2 linked regions of the Lepisosteus oculatus genome follow. The protein of the gene in region 2 interacts with the protein of the main gene of each other region in a biochemical or structural test. Links are inferred from orthologs where the notes say so. Each region holds a gene or a part of one and is shown on either strand. Other genes may lie near its edges.

Region 1 (7,730 bases), on a different chromosome or scaffold from region 2:
TTGTATTCCTACTATTTGAGAAAAGTCCCTGACAGTTTTTAACCCTCAAAAAGAAAGGGGATGATAGACTATTCAAGTAGCCAAAACAACGATTCATCAAGTTTTTATTCATCTAGAATATAAGGTAAGAGGCTAAACTGGCATGGAACTGATTACAATAATCAGCACTTACGGTTGGTAATATCCAAAATATTAATGGTGCTAACGTTATGTCTGTGGAAAATGGGATACAACATAGAAACTAGGGTCTAAGAACAATTTGGGCAACTATAAGAAGTTGTATCAGTGCCATGCATATTCACAGAGTTACTTTCTTTTATAAGAGTGTGTAGAAATCTGCTTACTAATCACTGATGTAGTTCATGTGCAGATGGATTTCTCAACAAGAATGGAATTTAATCACCCACTATTTCACAAAGGAATCAGCTGAGGCAAACGTGTTGAAACTGGCTACTGTATACATTTTTTTTCCTTGACAGGCAATATTTTAAGTAGCAATGCTGCTGTAAACTTTGTTCTTTTGTTCAACAGCTAGTTGTTCGTCCTACATGAACCCCAAGAAAAAATAACACAAGCACCTCAACATCTGACAGTTGATAAGAAGAAAGAATAAAAGAAAAGTATTAGACTGTGTGAGCCAAGAAATTATCCCCAAAAAGCCCAGCATCACAGATTAAGTATTTAGGTTTACCTTTTTAATTGGTCTAATTTTACAGTAGACGCTCATGAGCTGCAATGTCAAAGAATCTCAGAATTATAGTTTTCTTCAAAATAAATCCTTAACATCAAAAGAAATTATGTGATCAGCAGGGTCAACAGGGCATTTACTGTGAAAGTCACAAAGCAGAACCTTGTGTGAGCAGTGCTGGAAACAATACATGCTGAACATATACAATAAATGCTTTGATTAGGTTGCAGATTCCATCTTGTAAGATTCTGCTTCATACTTCTTGCCTGGACAAGCATGTGGCTTTTCACTGGTCTCTGAGCCCTAGAAGCCACGTCACCGCAGCTCTTTCCACATATATTCAACGGGGCTTCAAGTCTGGCAAGCAGACATGGACATGGACACGGACAGGGACACGGACATCCGTGGCATATCCGTTAAATTCTCACTTCATAAAAAGTTGTTTTAACACAAGCAGCTTGAAGGAGATGCCTTGTGCTGCTGGATATTTGACATATTTAGATGAGATCACCGGAAGGGCAGCAAGGGTCCATGGACATGTAGTTGCCATCAATCACAAGTAGAGTTCTCTGGTGACTCCCAATCAACTATACAGAACATTGACTGCATTATTCTGTGAGTCTACACCACATGACAATAACTGGCATCCATTAGAGTGGGCTACACGCAACTTTGATCGATCAATACCAAGGCTCTGCTGCTGGCAAGACTACTTGAGGTGTTGCTAACACCACCTAATTCTGCTGTGTTGATGAAAACAGGTGAACACCGCAAATGATGATGATAATAATAATAATAATAATAATAATAATAATAATAATAATAATTGCTTACACTTATATAGCGCTTTTCTGGACTTACACCCCTACCCTTTTCGAGAAACGACCTGGGATTTTTAATGACCACAGAGAGTCAGGACCTCGGTTTTACATCTCATCCGAAGGAATGCGCCTATTTACAGTATAGTGTCCCCGTCACTATACTGGGGCATTAGGACCCACATGAACCACAGGGTGGGCACCCCCTGCTGGCCCCAAATGATGTCTTGCTGTCTTCTCACACTTGAAAAGCTGGCGCACATATTGTGACCAACCTCACAGTGGTGATGTGTCAGTTTCAGCAAGGTTTCATAATTCATGGTTTCCAAGATTGTGGCCCATTGTCGAAGGACGGTGTTTGGGTGTTACCAGGTGAGAAATGGCTAACTGTGAATACCTCCGATGGTAAACAAAAGTGTTCTGACTTAGTCTACTTTTCAATATACACATGGTGGAAGGAGTTGATTTTCACTTGATAAGGATTGGTTCCTTTTTGTGTTTTTCTTTCTTAAGTTTTACTGTATTCAATGAGATAAATCACCATCAACTTCCAACATGTGTGCCCAATCAACTCTCTAACTAATAAGGTTGTTAAATAGTTAATTATTGATTAATGAACAACAAATCAAGATGATTTCACAATAATTTAATAAATATCAAAAGGAAGTAGTTTTATTTTTTCTAAAACATGCATGTATAAATGGTGATACATTTCTTGACATACTTTACAACAAACAAGTCACACTTAACAAGGCTTTGACATCTACACAGACAAAATGTGCAGACATTAATAATGATTAATCATAAACATATACAATTCATAGGTGATGTTTTGGAGTTTCTGAACATAACGTGAAGTAATATTGCACAGATCCAGGTTTGAAAGCCTTTATGTACACAGTCAGTACACACTCACTTTACGAGGAAAACAATAGATAAAGAAATGTTCCCCACCAGAGAAGATCACGTATCAGATGTGAACAAATTCAAACTGTAGCCTCCTATATTGTCTGTCTATCCATCCATCAGTACTGGAGCTGTCCCCTGTATTTACAGCTATTATTGATTTTCTTCATACACTAGTATTGACAGAAGAAGTAGTTAAAGCATGTTCTATAGCTAACGGTAACGAGATTGTACTGGTTTAAAACGGCTGAACATTTTTAAAGAATGACTGTATTGAATCAAATCCTTACCTTCTCTGGCTTGGGCTTGTTTTGTAGCAGCTGCTCGAGGTACAGATCGGAGAGGGCTGTCCGAACGCTGTTCACACGCTCAAATACAGCAGCGGGTTCGTTTTTATTGGATTTTAATGTCATCCTAAAGGTTAGCTAACAGCTGTCAATAGATGAAGGAACAGGACAGAGTGCCCTTGCAGAAGCTACCTGGCTCCACGGGGAAAGAGAAAAGGACCGATAATAAACCGTGACAGAAAGATAAAGCCCCGTTCTGGGTTAAAGTCCTAAAGTCAGATCGGATCTGACACACTCCGTAGAGTCTTGCCGGCAGTGCTTGCAAAGCAAGTAAACATAAGTGATGGAGGAGGTTAAAGTACTGCAGCTTCCTTGAAACAGTTACGTGATAGGAGAGCCAAGGACTCTACCAAAACGCAGCAAAGTGGGGGACTAAGATCAACAACGACCTCATGAGCAATCTCATTATTTGTGTCTGAATGAAATAGCCATTTCTGGACACACGTACACGGAACTGACATAAAATATATTGTCGGTGTTTCAGAAGAGTAAAGTTTAATTATTTTCTACAAAATACCCCTTTGTAATGGTGTTTCCCATAACCTCAGCACAGACACTGCTTCAGCAGTTAGAATTTGACATGAACAGCATTTTGTTGCGCAATGGCGAGAGTAGCTGGGGTCTGTGGAAAACATGTATTTACGGGTGTGTGTTGTTGACAGTTGCCATTGAAACGCGCATCAAGGACATTTGCATTTCCAAAGAAACTGAAATATTTTATTGAGCATGGAAATACATACAGTTGTGTTTTATGCAAACGTCATTCCGACACTCTAGGAATAAGCAACTCCATCTGAAATCAATATTTACTTAATGGAGATGGGCTTTTCCCTTTTACCAAAGAGAGATACTAGATAAAAAAATCCTGTGACGCTAAGCTGGCGTTTTCTTTTGAAGATACCTAGAAAATTTAGAAGGCGCAGTCTATGTACAGTTTCACCCTTTTACTGAATTGACAAAATAAAAGTGGCTGAACAGGCAGATTACACAAACAGCAGGCAGACCACCACAGTTTACTCAAGAGAACAAGGACTCTTGCTAAGGGCTACTCTATACTGTAGGTCCCCAGGGCAGGCGGATGGATACTAGCCAGAGCCTGAAGGCCTCAGCCAATAAGGGCACACCATCTTTGTCACTACTATGTCCCATACTGTACAGTATATCCCATTTCCGTTGCAGCGTTGACATCGACTTCGAGAACCAAGCCCTCGAAATGTACTCATTTTTTATCAACAGAGGATATCCCAGCAGTGTGATTGACAGGGCCCTTGCCCGAGCCAAAAACACCCCCCGGACCATCAACCCGATTAGGAACTCCCGCCGTAACAACCGCATTCCCTTGGTGCTTCCTTACCACCCTAACACACTTCCTATCCCCAGGACCATTAACCAGAATTTTTCCATCCTACAGGATGATCCCTCCATTGGGGCCCTCTTTTCTGATCGCCCTATCATCTCATATCGCCGACCACCTAATCTGCGTAACCTCCTTGTTCACAGCTCCCTTGACCGCCCTCAACAACCATCCACACCAGGCACTTTCCCTTGCAACAGAGCTCGCTGTATCACCTGCAAGTACACAGCCACCACCACACTCATTCAAGGCCCCTCAGGACAATTCCGGATCACCCAGACAGCATCTTGTACCTCCAGCAACCTTATTTACTGTATCTCTTGCAGTAAATGCCCAGCCATCTACATTGGAGAAACAGGAAGGAGACTCGGAGACCGCTTCAGAGAACACGTCAGGGCTGTGAAGATTAAAGATCTCTCCAAGCCCATTGTTTCTCATTTCACCTCTGACGGCCACGACCACACTAATCTCTCCGTCTGTGTTCTCAAAGACGGTTTTCCGAACTCATACATCAGAAAGACCACCGAAACTAAAATTATTCTGCAGTTAGGATCACACATTCTCCCTTCCCTTAACGACAGATTACTGTTCTTTTAAATTTTCTCCATTCATTGGAAGTTTCATTTCACACCTCTCTGCACCCATTCTGCCTTCACACCTCTTGATTGGCCTCTCTTTCTGTCCCCTGCTCCCGCCTCTCACTCCTCCTCCCCCCAACCTTTGTTCTCCTGCTACTTTACCTTTGCCTACTGCCCTGTCTCTCTCACACCTGAAGAAGGCTCCACGGCCGAAACGTTGTGTTCTCTTTCTTCTTTTTTTCAGCATGGAATAAACCTATTACTTGTTCCTTTGCAGCCTACGCATGCTGACGCAGCTACCCACCTGAACTACTACCGCCTACAGCTGCTGCGACCCACTATGCCTTCCTCCAAATCTTTTTCTAGATCTCTTCGTCATACCTTCTCTTCCTCCCTGGGCCACTTGCCCGCTTCTCTCACTAAACCAGCATTCCGTCTCTTCACAGCTATCTGTTCCAAGACCAGGCTTTCTAACCACCTTCTATTCCTTTACAGATGTCGTCGACATAATATCATCCCTAAAGGATTTCGCCTTAAATTTAATACCTTTTCTTTTGACTCTGATAACACCCAGAGCAACACTCAGAGACTTCTAAAACAATTTTCTAGGAAACTAATGCTCTCTACCATTTTCTCCCTCAAAAAACGGATTATCCTTTCTGACAACAACATCAAAGAGGCTAAGGAATTTCTACGGCTGACAGCTCCACACCATCTTCCCTTCATAACTAACCTCATTAGATCTCTCAACTCTAAACTCTACCAGTTTCTCACTACAGAGAAGGACAAAAAACTCAGTCATCTTCTACAGAAGAAAACCATCAACACCCCGGACACCCTCACCAACCCTAACCTTGTTGTCACCATACCTTCTGACCTTTCCCTTTCACAGGACGAGCGATCCCTCCTCAGCAAAGGGCTCAGTTTTGTACCAGTTCCCAGGAAGCTGGACATCCCCCAGACCAATGTCGACCTTAACCGCTTTTACCGCAGGATCCGTCTCAGAGCACATTTTGCCGACAATTCCTCTTCACAGGCAGCTGATAACAACCCGGTTATTGATGTCATTAACAACATTAATCCGAAACAGAGCTGTTGGACTCCCTCCTCCGGCCGTTTTCCACCAGTTGATTATTTCATTAACCAATGCACTAATCAAGCTCCCAAGGCACTCTCTATACCCAGTAAGCATAGGTCTAACCTCACCCAAGGAGAAAATCAGGCGCTCCAGTCTCTCCGCAACAGGGATGATATCGTCATCAAACCAGCGGACAAAGGAGGTGCTGTTGTGGTGTGGCGTAAGGATCTATATATCTTTGAAGCCTCTAGACAACTAACTGACACTTCTGCCTACCTCCCTCTCCAACAGGACCCTACCACTGACTACCAAAAGGAAGTGGTATCCACCATTTCCCTTCTTATCAGCAGTAACGAGCTCCCCCAGGAGGCGAACCGGCTCATCATGGAACATCCACAGGTATCTCAATTTTACTTCCTCCCCAAAATCCACAAACCAGACACCCCTGGACGCCCCATCGTATCAGCATGTAACTGTCCAACTACTTACATCTCAGCCTTTCTCGACAGCCTCATGAGACCGCTGGTTGAAGATCTTCCCTCATACATCAAAGACACCAACCACGCGCTCCAACTTTTCAATGATTTCCAATTTCAGGGTACCGAATGCCACATTTTTACCATGGACATCACATCTCTGTACACCGTCATTCCCCATAATGACGGCCTTACAGCACTCAAGCACACGCTGGACAAACGCACAGTGCTTGATCCACCCACCCACACCCTGGTACGCCTTGCAGAATTGGTCCTCACACTGAACGCATTCTCTTTCAATAATCTTTTTTACCAACAGGTCAGTGGAGTTGCCATGGGCACCAGAATGGGACCCAGCTATGCCAACATTTTTGTCGGCTGGGTAGAAGAACGCTTCTTCGCCTCCTACACTGGCTATGTCCCTGACCTCTACAAACGATATATTGATGATTGCGTCGGTGCCGCCACATGCTCCAACGATCACCTCGAGTTCTTCCTGCACCATTTCACCAACTTCCACCCGTCCCTCAAATATACAGTTCACATATCTTCCACCACTCTTCCGTTTCTAGACATCCACTTGTCTATCAACTACCCCCGACTTTCCACTTCAGTTTATTACAAACCCACGGATTCACACAGCTACCTCCTGTACAGCTCATTTCACCCCAACCACACTAAAAACTCTCTTCCTTTTTCACAGTTCCTTAGGTTACGAAGACTATGCAGCGTTGACATCGACTTCGAGAACCAAGCCCTCGAAATGTACTCATTTTTTATCAACAGAGGATATCCCAGCAGTGTGATTGACAGGGCCCTTGCCCGAGCCAAAAACACCCCCCGGACCATCAACCCGATTAGGAACTCCCGCCGTAACAACCGCATTCCCTTGGTGCTTCCTTACCACCCTAACACACTTCCTATCCCCAGGACCATTAACCAGAATTTTTCCATCCTACAGGATGATCCCTCCATTGGGGCCCTCTTTTCTGATCGCCCTATCATCTCATATCGCCGACCACCTAATCTGCGTAACCTCCTTGTTCACAGCTCCCTTGACCGCCCTCAACAACCATCCACACCAGGCACTTTCCCTTGCAACAGAGCTCGCTGTATCACCTGCAAGTACACAGCCACCACCACACTCATTCAAGGCCCCTCAGGACAATTCCGGATCACCCAGACAGCATCTTGTACCTCCAGCAACCTTATTTACTGTATCTCTTGCAGTAAATGCCCAGCCATCTACATTGGAGAAACAGGAAGGAGACTCGGAGACCGCTTCAGAGAACACGTCAGGGCTGTGAAGATTAAAGATCTCTCCAAGCCCATTGTTTCTCATTTCACCTCTGACGGCCACGACCACACTAATCTCTCCGTCTGTGTTCTCAAAGACGGTTTTCCGAACTCATACATCAGAAAGACCACCGAAACTAAAATTATTCTGCAGTTAGGATCACACATTCTCCCTTCCCTTAACGACAG
Region 2 (7,306 bases):
ATATTCTTAATGTGACCATACTAGTGCTTTGAACATTTTAAAATAACATCCCATGATTTAAATGTGAAATCTTGATCTACAGGTAGCTAGTGAAAAAAATGAAATTACTGTACATGCAGTACATGGAGTCATGTAATGCTAGCTTTAATTATTGGAAACTACATTTTTATACAAGACTAAGCATTCTGGGATGTTATTTGCTTAACTATTACATCAGCTAAAGTTATGTGGAAGCCTTTGCTTTCAATATACTTATATACTAAAAGAGGTTGTTTTGTCATTATTCTTGAGCAGTGTCAAGCAATTTAATCTTCAGGCTTCTGTGATACATTTCATGTTCAGAAGTTATTGAAAGAACAGGCAATGCTCCAAAGCTCTTTGGAACCAAGATTAAGTACAGTAAGTGAGAAAAAGTATCAAGAGAAAAATCAATTAGCAATTAATCAAACCCCCTGAAATTCAACTTTTCTATCTAGAATTAATTAACTTTAAATGTGATCTGGTAATGAATACAGGAATATGAAATGTTGGCAACTAATTATTATTTTCAAATGAAGAGATAAAAACCTGTTTTTAACAACAGTACAGCATGTGTTCTATTGTCATTTTAAAAATATTTCTGCAATGGCAAATGAGGCTTGGGTTTTTTTAGGTACAGTATGTAAGTTCCCTGCTTTTGTCAGCTATTCTGCAAACTTTGCCTTCAGTGGAAAATTAAATCCATAGATTCTGATGATGATTCGCTGTTGGTGACTCGCATGTACTGTACTGTAAGTGCATTAAAGGCTTCTAAAACTCTTGTAACAAGCAAGTGACACAGAAGAATAGAATTAAAAAGGATTAAAAAGTTCCTACGTCATTCATCCTCTCAACTGCCAATTCAATAGCCTTCTTCAGTTTGTGGAGCATATTGCATGTCAGTTTTTTCAACCTAAACAGAAGCTAAGGTGGTACCAAACCTTGAGGACATCTTTCACGGCAACATGAAAACTTCAGCCACTTCAACATAAGAGAGATGTATTTATAAGGAAAACATATCAATAGTAGTAACAATACTCACAATTTTGAATTTATTATTTTAAAATCAGTGCTTTTAGCTTTCTCAGGGAATGTGTGAGACAATATTTTATCATCTATGTATTTTTTAAGGCTTTCTGGTTCTGATTAATTTAAATTCCTGACCCTGACCGAACTGGGCATCTACACTCAGATATGAAGACAGAAAACAAGGACATTGCCCAAACTGAATATACAGACACAGAGAATCCTTTGGCATGACCTGTCAGAGTGTTTTTGACACAACAGGCTACCCTTTTCCTTATTGTAGCACAGTGTCACCATATGCTATTTTTGGAAAGAAAGACAAATTATAATGTTTAAAAAATTAGAATCTACAGTATGTACCTGACCACTTGATTAACATTGTTTTGGGGTTAACGTGAGTTCAGGAACTGCAAATACAGTACATAATCTCTCAAGGCTTCAAATGCAATCTCATCAATATATTTTGCATGAATTTGGTGAAAAGCAGATACATGTTCAAGTTTTTTGTATTTGTTTTTTGTTTTTTGAATTCTAGTTTATTGTACACGGTTAAGCGAAAGTGCTCTCCCTTGTGGTACGTTTGATGTTGTAATAAGTATGAAGGAGGATTTTTATTGATTAAGTCAGTGGTTTACTCTTACTGGTTTGGCGAAGAGGAGTACTTAATCTTTCACCTGATAGTGTGAGCATAAATAGACACCCCTGTTATGTGCAGCTGCAGAACAGACCTTTCTGACTACTCCTGTTGTGAAACAGCCGGCAAGGAGACATCAAGAGTGTGACCTAGCCTTTTTCCATTTCACAGCACTAATATGCATGGAACTGGGTCATTGGTCAGCTTGCCAAGAAAAACCTCAAAGGGAGCAGAGGGCAGGGCATCACTGAGTTGGTAGAATGAGAAACTATAATCATAGCTGTGGGTGGTTTTCAGAAGGCTGCAGTGAAACATGCATCTTTTTATTTAATTAACATGCCACTGGTGCTAAAATAATAAGACAGCATAATCCACAGCCATTTAAATTTGTAATATAAGGAAAACATTGCTGATTCAGATTACTTTCCTAAACCTTGACAACACATTTTTTGAGGTAATCTTTCATTTTTTAAAATCTCTATGGGATTAAATTATGGAACGGGATTACGTCTATGTTATTTTGTCTTAACAGTCAAGCAATTTGTGTTTGTGATCATGTAATTAACACAAATAGTAAGTACAATACAATATACATTTTATTTTTAAATAATTAATTAATAAATAAAATGTATTTATTGTAAATGTATACATTTGATCACATTACAAATAAAATGTTCTTTGTGATCAACCCAGTGATTTAAAATGACCATAAATATGTTGGATCAGAATCTCACTTAGTCAATGGACAACTCAATCCATATCATTATTATAAACAATTGCAAACACAGAGGAAGCAATAATTAATTTTATTCACCTTATTTTAAAGCATCTAGGCAAATGCAAACTATTTGCTAAAGTACTGTACTTTTTCTCGGCTTTTCTTCAGTTTTTAACACAAACCAACCAGACATTATATTATCAAAAATGATTCAATTACAGATCATCCCATATTTGATCTTTTGGTACAACTCATTCCTTACAAGAAGACTGCAGCAAGTTAAAGTACTGTAAATGGTATACTTTCTTCCAAGTAAATGACTGTGGAGCACTCGAAGGGTGTATGTGTTCACCACTGCTCTTCACTTTCTGCACGAATGATTGTGTTGCCAGTGGTTCAAACCAATTTCTAAACACATTTTTTGATGATTCCACCTTACTTTCTCAGATGAATGATAATGATGACTCCAACATATATCAGAACAATATATTGATTCTATAAAAACAGAAGAAATTGTCTCTGGTCTTAAACAGAATGGATATCCTTCCCTGGTCATAAGTTATAATGATTCCATTAAGCAAATTTGATTACATAACAAATAAAACATTGGATACATCCTATTAATATCTGGGAATACAGTATACTATACATAGTTGCAAATCTGTATTGGAAGGTACATGTTGACTTTTTTGTAATAAAGTACAGCAAAGAATTTACTTTCTTTGCAGGTTATGGTTTTGGTTACTATTGGTGCTAGTAGTCATACTCTGTGTTTTTCAGTTTTGTGGTACAAAGTGTCATGCAGAATGGAATAACTGGCTAGTATAATAGTCTTTCTGTGCAACATAAAGCCAAGATGACCAGACTCTTGAGGATGTTAGTAAGGCAGCCATTTGCAGAGCCTTCAAACTGCTTACATTAAGAGTATGTGGAGAAGACCTGTTAGGATCTCCTCTGATCGCTTCCATGTCCTGCATGAAGAATATTAACATACAATATGCCTTCAAACAGATGTTTTAGAGTTCCTCAATGCAGACTTAACAAAATGAAGAATTCCTTTATCCCATATTCAATAAAACTACTCAGTCAACAAATGAGTGTAGGTTAAGGGTTATGGAAGAATGCAATAAGTGGTTATGTGCAAAATGAAGAGTGAATAGACAATTATAGAGGCTTAGGGTGATTGTGGGTGGAGTAAATTTACAGGTACTGTAAGTTGTGAATTCCTATAGAAAGGACTATGGATGGGTTGAATTATTTTATGTAATGTTTATTTGTACTGTTCATACATTTTTATAAGTTTCTCTGTAGAAATAGCTGCTTGGATGCAGAACAAATTTCTGAGAAATCAGAGAAATCATTAATTTTATTTTTTTAGAGTTTAGAAGTCTGTATGTGATTGCACATCACTTTGAGGCAATAACTGCATGAAGTGTGAGACCCATGAGCTTACCAATCTGTTTGTGTAACTGATTCAGATGCTTTATTGCAGGCACTTTGACGTCTTGTTAATTCTGAAGTATTGTGGCTTACATTTTTGTTCAACCATGTAAAATGTATTCTCAATTGGTGTTCAGTCCAGAGATTAGATTGGCCATTTTGCTTGCTTTGCACCATCCAGTAACCTTGACAGACATCAGGGGTGCTGCCGGTTATAATTACAAGGCGCGTTGGTAAACCAATCCGAAAGACGTGGGCGGAGCAAACCAGAACCTGGTCTCAGTGTGAGTCTCGCGTCTTGGAAATGGGTAGGCTGTACTCAGTAGAGTTGTAGCTGGATTACCATGTGCAAAAGAGGGGTTATACAATCTTGCACAAGACATTGGTATAAAAAACAGACAAGGAGCCTTTCCCTTTTGGCCCAGACATTGAGCAAAGTGCTAGGGCACGATGGAACCTCTGCGGAAAGATGAGAAACCTAATCCATCGGCCACAGCTAATCTGTTTTCCAAGGTTTTTTTCTGGTAAGAGGGCGATTAAACTAGAAAGGAAGTAGAACAAATCGTATTTTCTCTTATATTCTGGTTTTCTTTGTTGCCGTAAATCCATACAGAGGCTTTTTTGTTACTGTAACGGAAGTTTCCGTTTTTAGTTTTGGAAGCTGTAGGTTTGGAGCCGGTGGTTTTATCGTGTAATGTACATCAGCTACACTGAAAAGAGACAAAAACCAAATAAGAGCTAAAATGATATAAAAACTGTATGATTAAGAAGTTTACAAAGCTAATTGGTTAAAAAAAACTTAATCGAAATGTATAAGCATCGTCTTAACAGAGGGTTTCCTTAATAATATGCAGTGAGCACGTGACAAGTGACACTGCAGTATTTGGTACGTCTGCACTCACGGCAATATGTATAATATTAAACAAAAACTGGTGTAATGTAAATATTTAATTACAAATATAAATGTAATTACTGTGCCGGTCGTTTCTTTCTTTCTGCTTTTTATGTTGCTTATGTACGTTGGTTGATCCACAGGTTGCTGTGTTGCCATTGAGTTTTAATACTATCTTTTGCAGTGAACCTTACCTTTATAGAATGTAACTTAATAATAACACTGATAACATGAAATAGGTGCTTTTAATAACATTTAATGTCATGTTATTTAAAACCACGAAAACGTGATTTTCGTTAGATGCTTTGAAAACTAAAGAAATAGACATGTATCTCCAGCGTTATAGCGAATATTAGGTTATTTAAAAAATGTGCGTTTAACTAAGCACTGTGGTGTGTTAAATAATAATTCCACATTTAGTGTTACGATGTACCTGTACGTTTGCTTTTCTTTATATCAAAAGTCAATCGTGTGAAGCACTTTTTAAAAGACGTACGCTTCTTCTATAAAACTACTCGAGAATTTACCAGCTGTAATAGGATACACTACCGCGGGAATTTGAAAGCCACTCTGAATGTCATCTCTGTACTTTGGTTTATGAGTTGCAAGTCCATTATACTGATGCAACTTTTAGTAGTTGTAATGTGTTCTTCATGTTTTTCTCACAATAGGCAAAAAAAGCTTGAAATATCCACATCCTGGTTCATGGTTTCTGTATAGTAAGATGCAGTAGCTTGTAAAACCTGAAATGGATCAAACTCCTATGCAATGTGAATTTCTCTGTTCACTATTAGGCGGGGTGGAAGCGTGTTTTGCCTATTTTCTTGTAAAAATATGCAAGTGCACCATATGACTGACAAGCTTTAGAAGACTTTGTTCCATTGTCATAACCAGTATTATTTTAATTTTATCTGCCGATAATAACCAAATAGTATTTGACGGTTTAAGAGAGAACATAATTCCTTGCTTTTGTACAACACTTCTCATCTCAAAGGATCTTCAGGCTAAGATCTCTGAAAGATGGTCCTGGTCAGTGCTGGAACTGGAGCACTTTGAGAATAGAAGCAGTTTGCTGACATTAGTGGTATTAGCAGAAACTAAAACATGACAAAGATAGTGACAGGGGACACTGCTATAGAGGACATTGTCCCAGATAACCTGTCAAATGAAGATCCTGAATACCTGGTTATTAAAGATCTTATGGAATTGTCTGTAAGAGTAGGGATGTTAAATGAAGTGGCTAAATTTCACTCCGGGCTTGTACAATTTAGCCTCCCTAAATTTCTCACTAAATTCAGTTGTTGAATTTATTTCTGATTTCCCCACCTGATTAGCTGTGTATTGGGTCTGTAGTAGTAGTAGTAGTAGTAGTAGTAGTAGTAGTATTAACATCACTTTACAATTTTTTGCATTAGGAATGATCTTTTCGCATACCCCAGTTTGGTCTCCATGAGACACACAGACAGGGAGAGAGCCTGGGGTCAGAGCGCAGGGTCTGCCAGTGTACGGCACCCCTGGAGCAGCTGGGGTTAAGGGCCTTGCTCAGGAGCCCAACGGAGTAGGATAGTGGCTACATCACATCACATTGTTAGTGGCTGGTAAATTAATCTCTAATTTTCAGAAATGTACAGTACCTTGCCTTTCTTACATGAGTTCCACTCTGTCGGAAGTTGCGGTGTACTGTAAAAACAGATGCATCTGTGTTGTATCTTGTTTTACTACAAACCTGTAATTCCAATTTTGTAGTACTTGTTAGTAGTTTGTTGAAGGTTGTGACTCTTCAGTTATACATGATTTAGGATTTGATGACCCTGCTTTGCTAGCCAGTGAAACAGGAAAAATAAACTGTTGAGTGGACACACGACTTTGTCATATACAGTATTAGGGAATCCATTGTCCCATTATCTTCTCTCATTCTGTATTTTTCATATTGGAGCATGATTAGAGCACTATTTTAGGAGTTACAAAAGATAATTTTCACATTTTAAGTGAAACTAGTGACTTTGGAATTGAATGTCTTTTATTTTGAGACATGGCTTTGTTTTAATTTGTCTAAATTATAGTTATATAACTGGTGGCATAACCAAGTGAAGACAAACTCCTGCTTTTATGTTTACATGTGGTATACTGTAACTATATTGGCTGTATAAATGCAGCTGACACTGTAGAAGAGACGTAGCCCTGCCTCCTCCTTGTTTCCTCTCTTCACATTTCTGTTAGTACAAACATGTGCAAGGAGCTCATGTATGATCCATCTACTGGTATAAAAGGGCAAATGTTAATGTGTAAAAACTCTGTGTAAAGATTATGTACATTACAAAGGAGAAAAACATGACAGGTCTAATTTTTCTCTTGACTTAGTAGTTTGGCTTGAAATGTGATTAGGAAGAAATAGCAGAACCAAAAACTTTGTTATACCTTCCTCTGCACACAATTAAAACCAAACCAAGAGCAAGATCTAGTAATAAACATAAAGGTGATATGGTATGAACCTTGTTTGTGTAGATAAGCAGAGTGCAGTAATCCCTCATTATACTATCTTAATTTGTTCCTCAAAAACGGCTTGTAAGGTGAAAAG

What was found.
Region 1: the proteins of abcc4 (region 2) and mpp1 form a complex in vitro, tested with the Homo sapiens proteins (2 studies listed by BioGRID and IntAct, with this or other methods). The link is inferred for Lepisosteus oculatus from reciprocal best matches to the Homo sapiens genes ABCC4 and MPP1.

The regions. Positions count from the first base shown.
Region 1 is NC_090703.1:36,185,897-36,193,626, reverse strand, and holds the start of mpp1 (55 kDa erythrocyte membrane protein), read right to left. Parts: upstream 3,069-7,730; 5' UTR 2,826-3,068; coding exon 2,703-2,825; intron 1-2,702. UniProt on the Homo sapiens protein: Essential regulator of neutrophil polarity. Regulates neutrophil polarization by regulating AKT1 phosphorylation through a mechanism that is independent of PIK3CG activity.
Region 2 is NC_090710.1:7,173,796-7,181,101, forward strand, and holds the start of abcc4 (ATP-binding cassette sub-family C member 4), read left to right. Parts: upstream 1-4,246; 5' UTR 4,247-4,286; coding exon 4,287-4,360; intron 4,361-7,306. UniProt on the Homo sapiens protein: ATP-dependent transporter of the ATP-binding cassette (ABC) family that actively extrudes physiological compounds and xenobiotics from cells.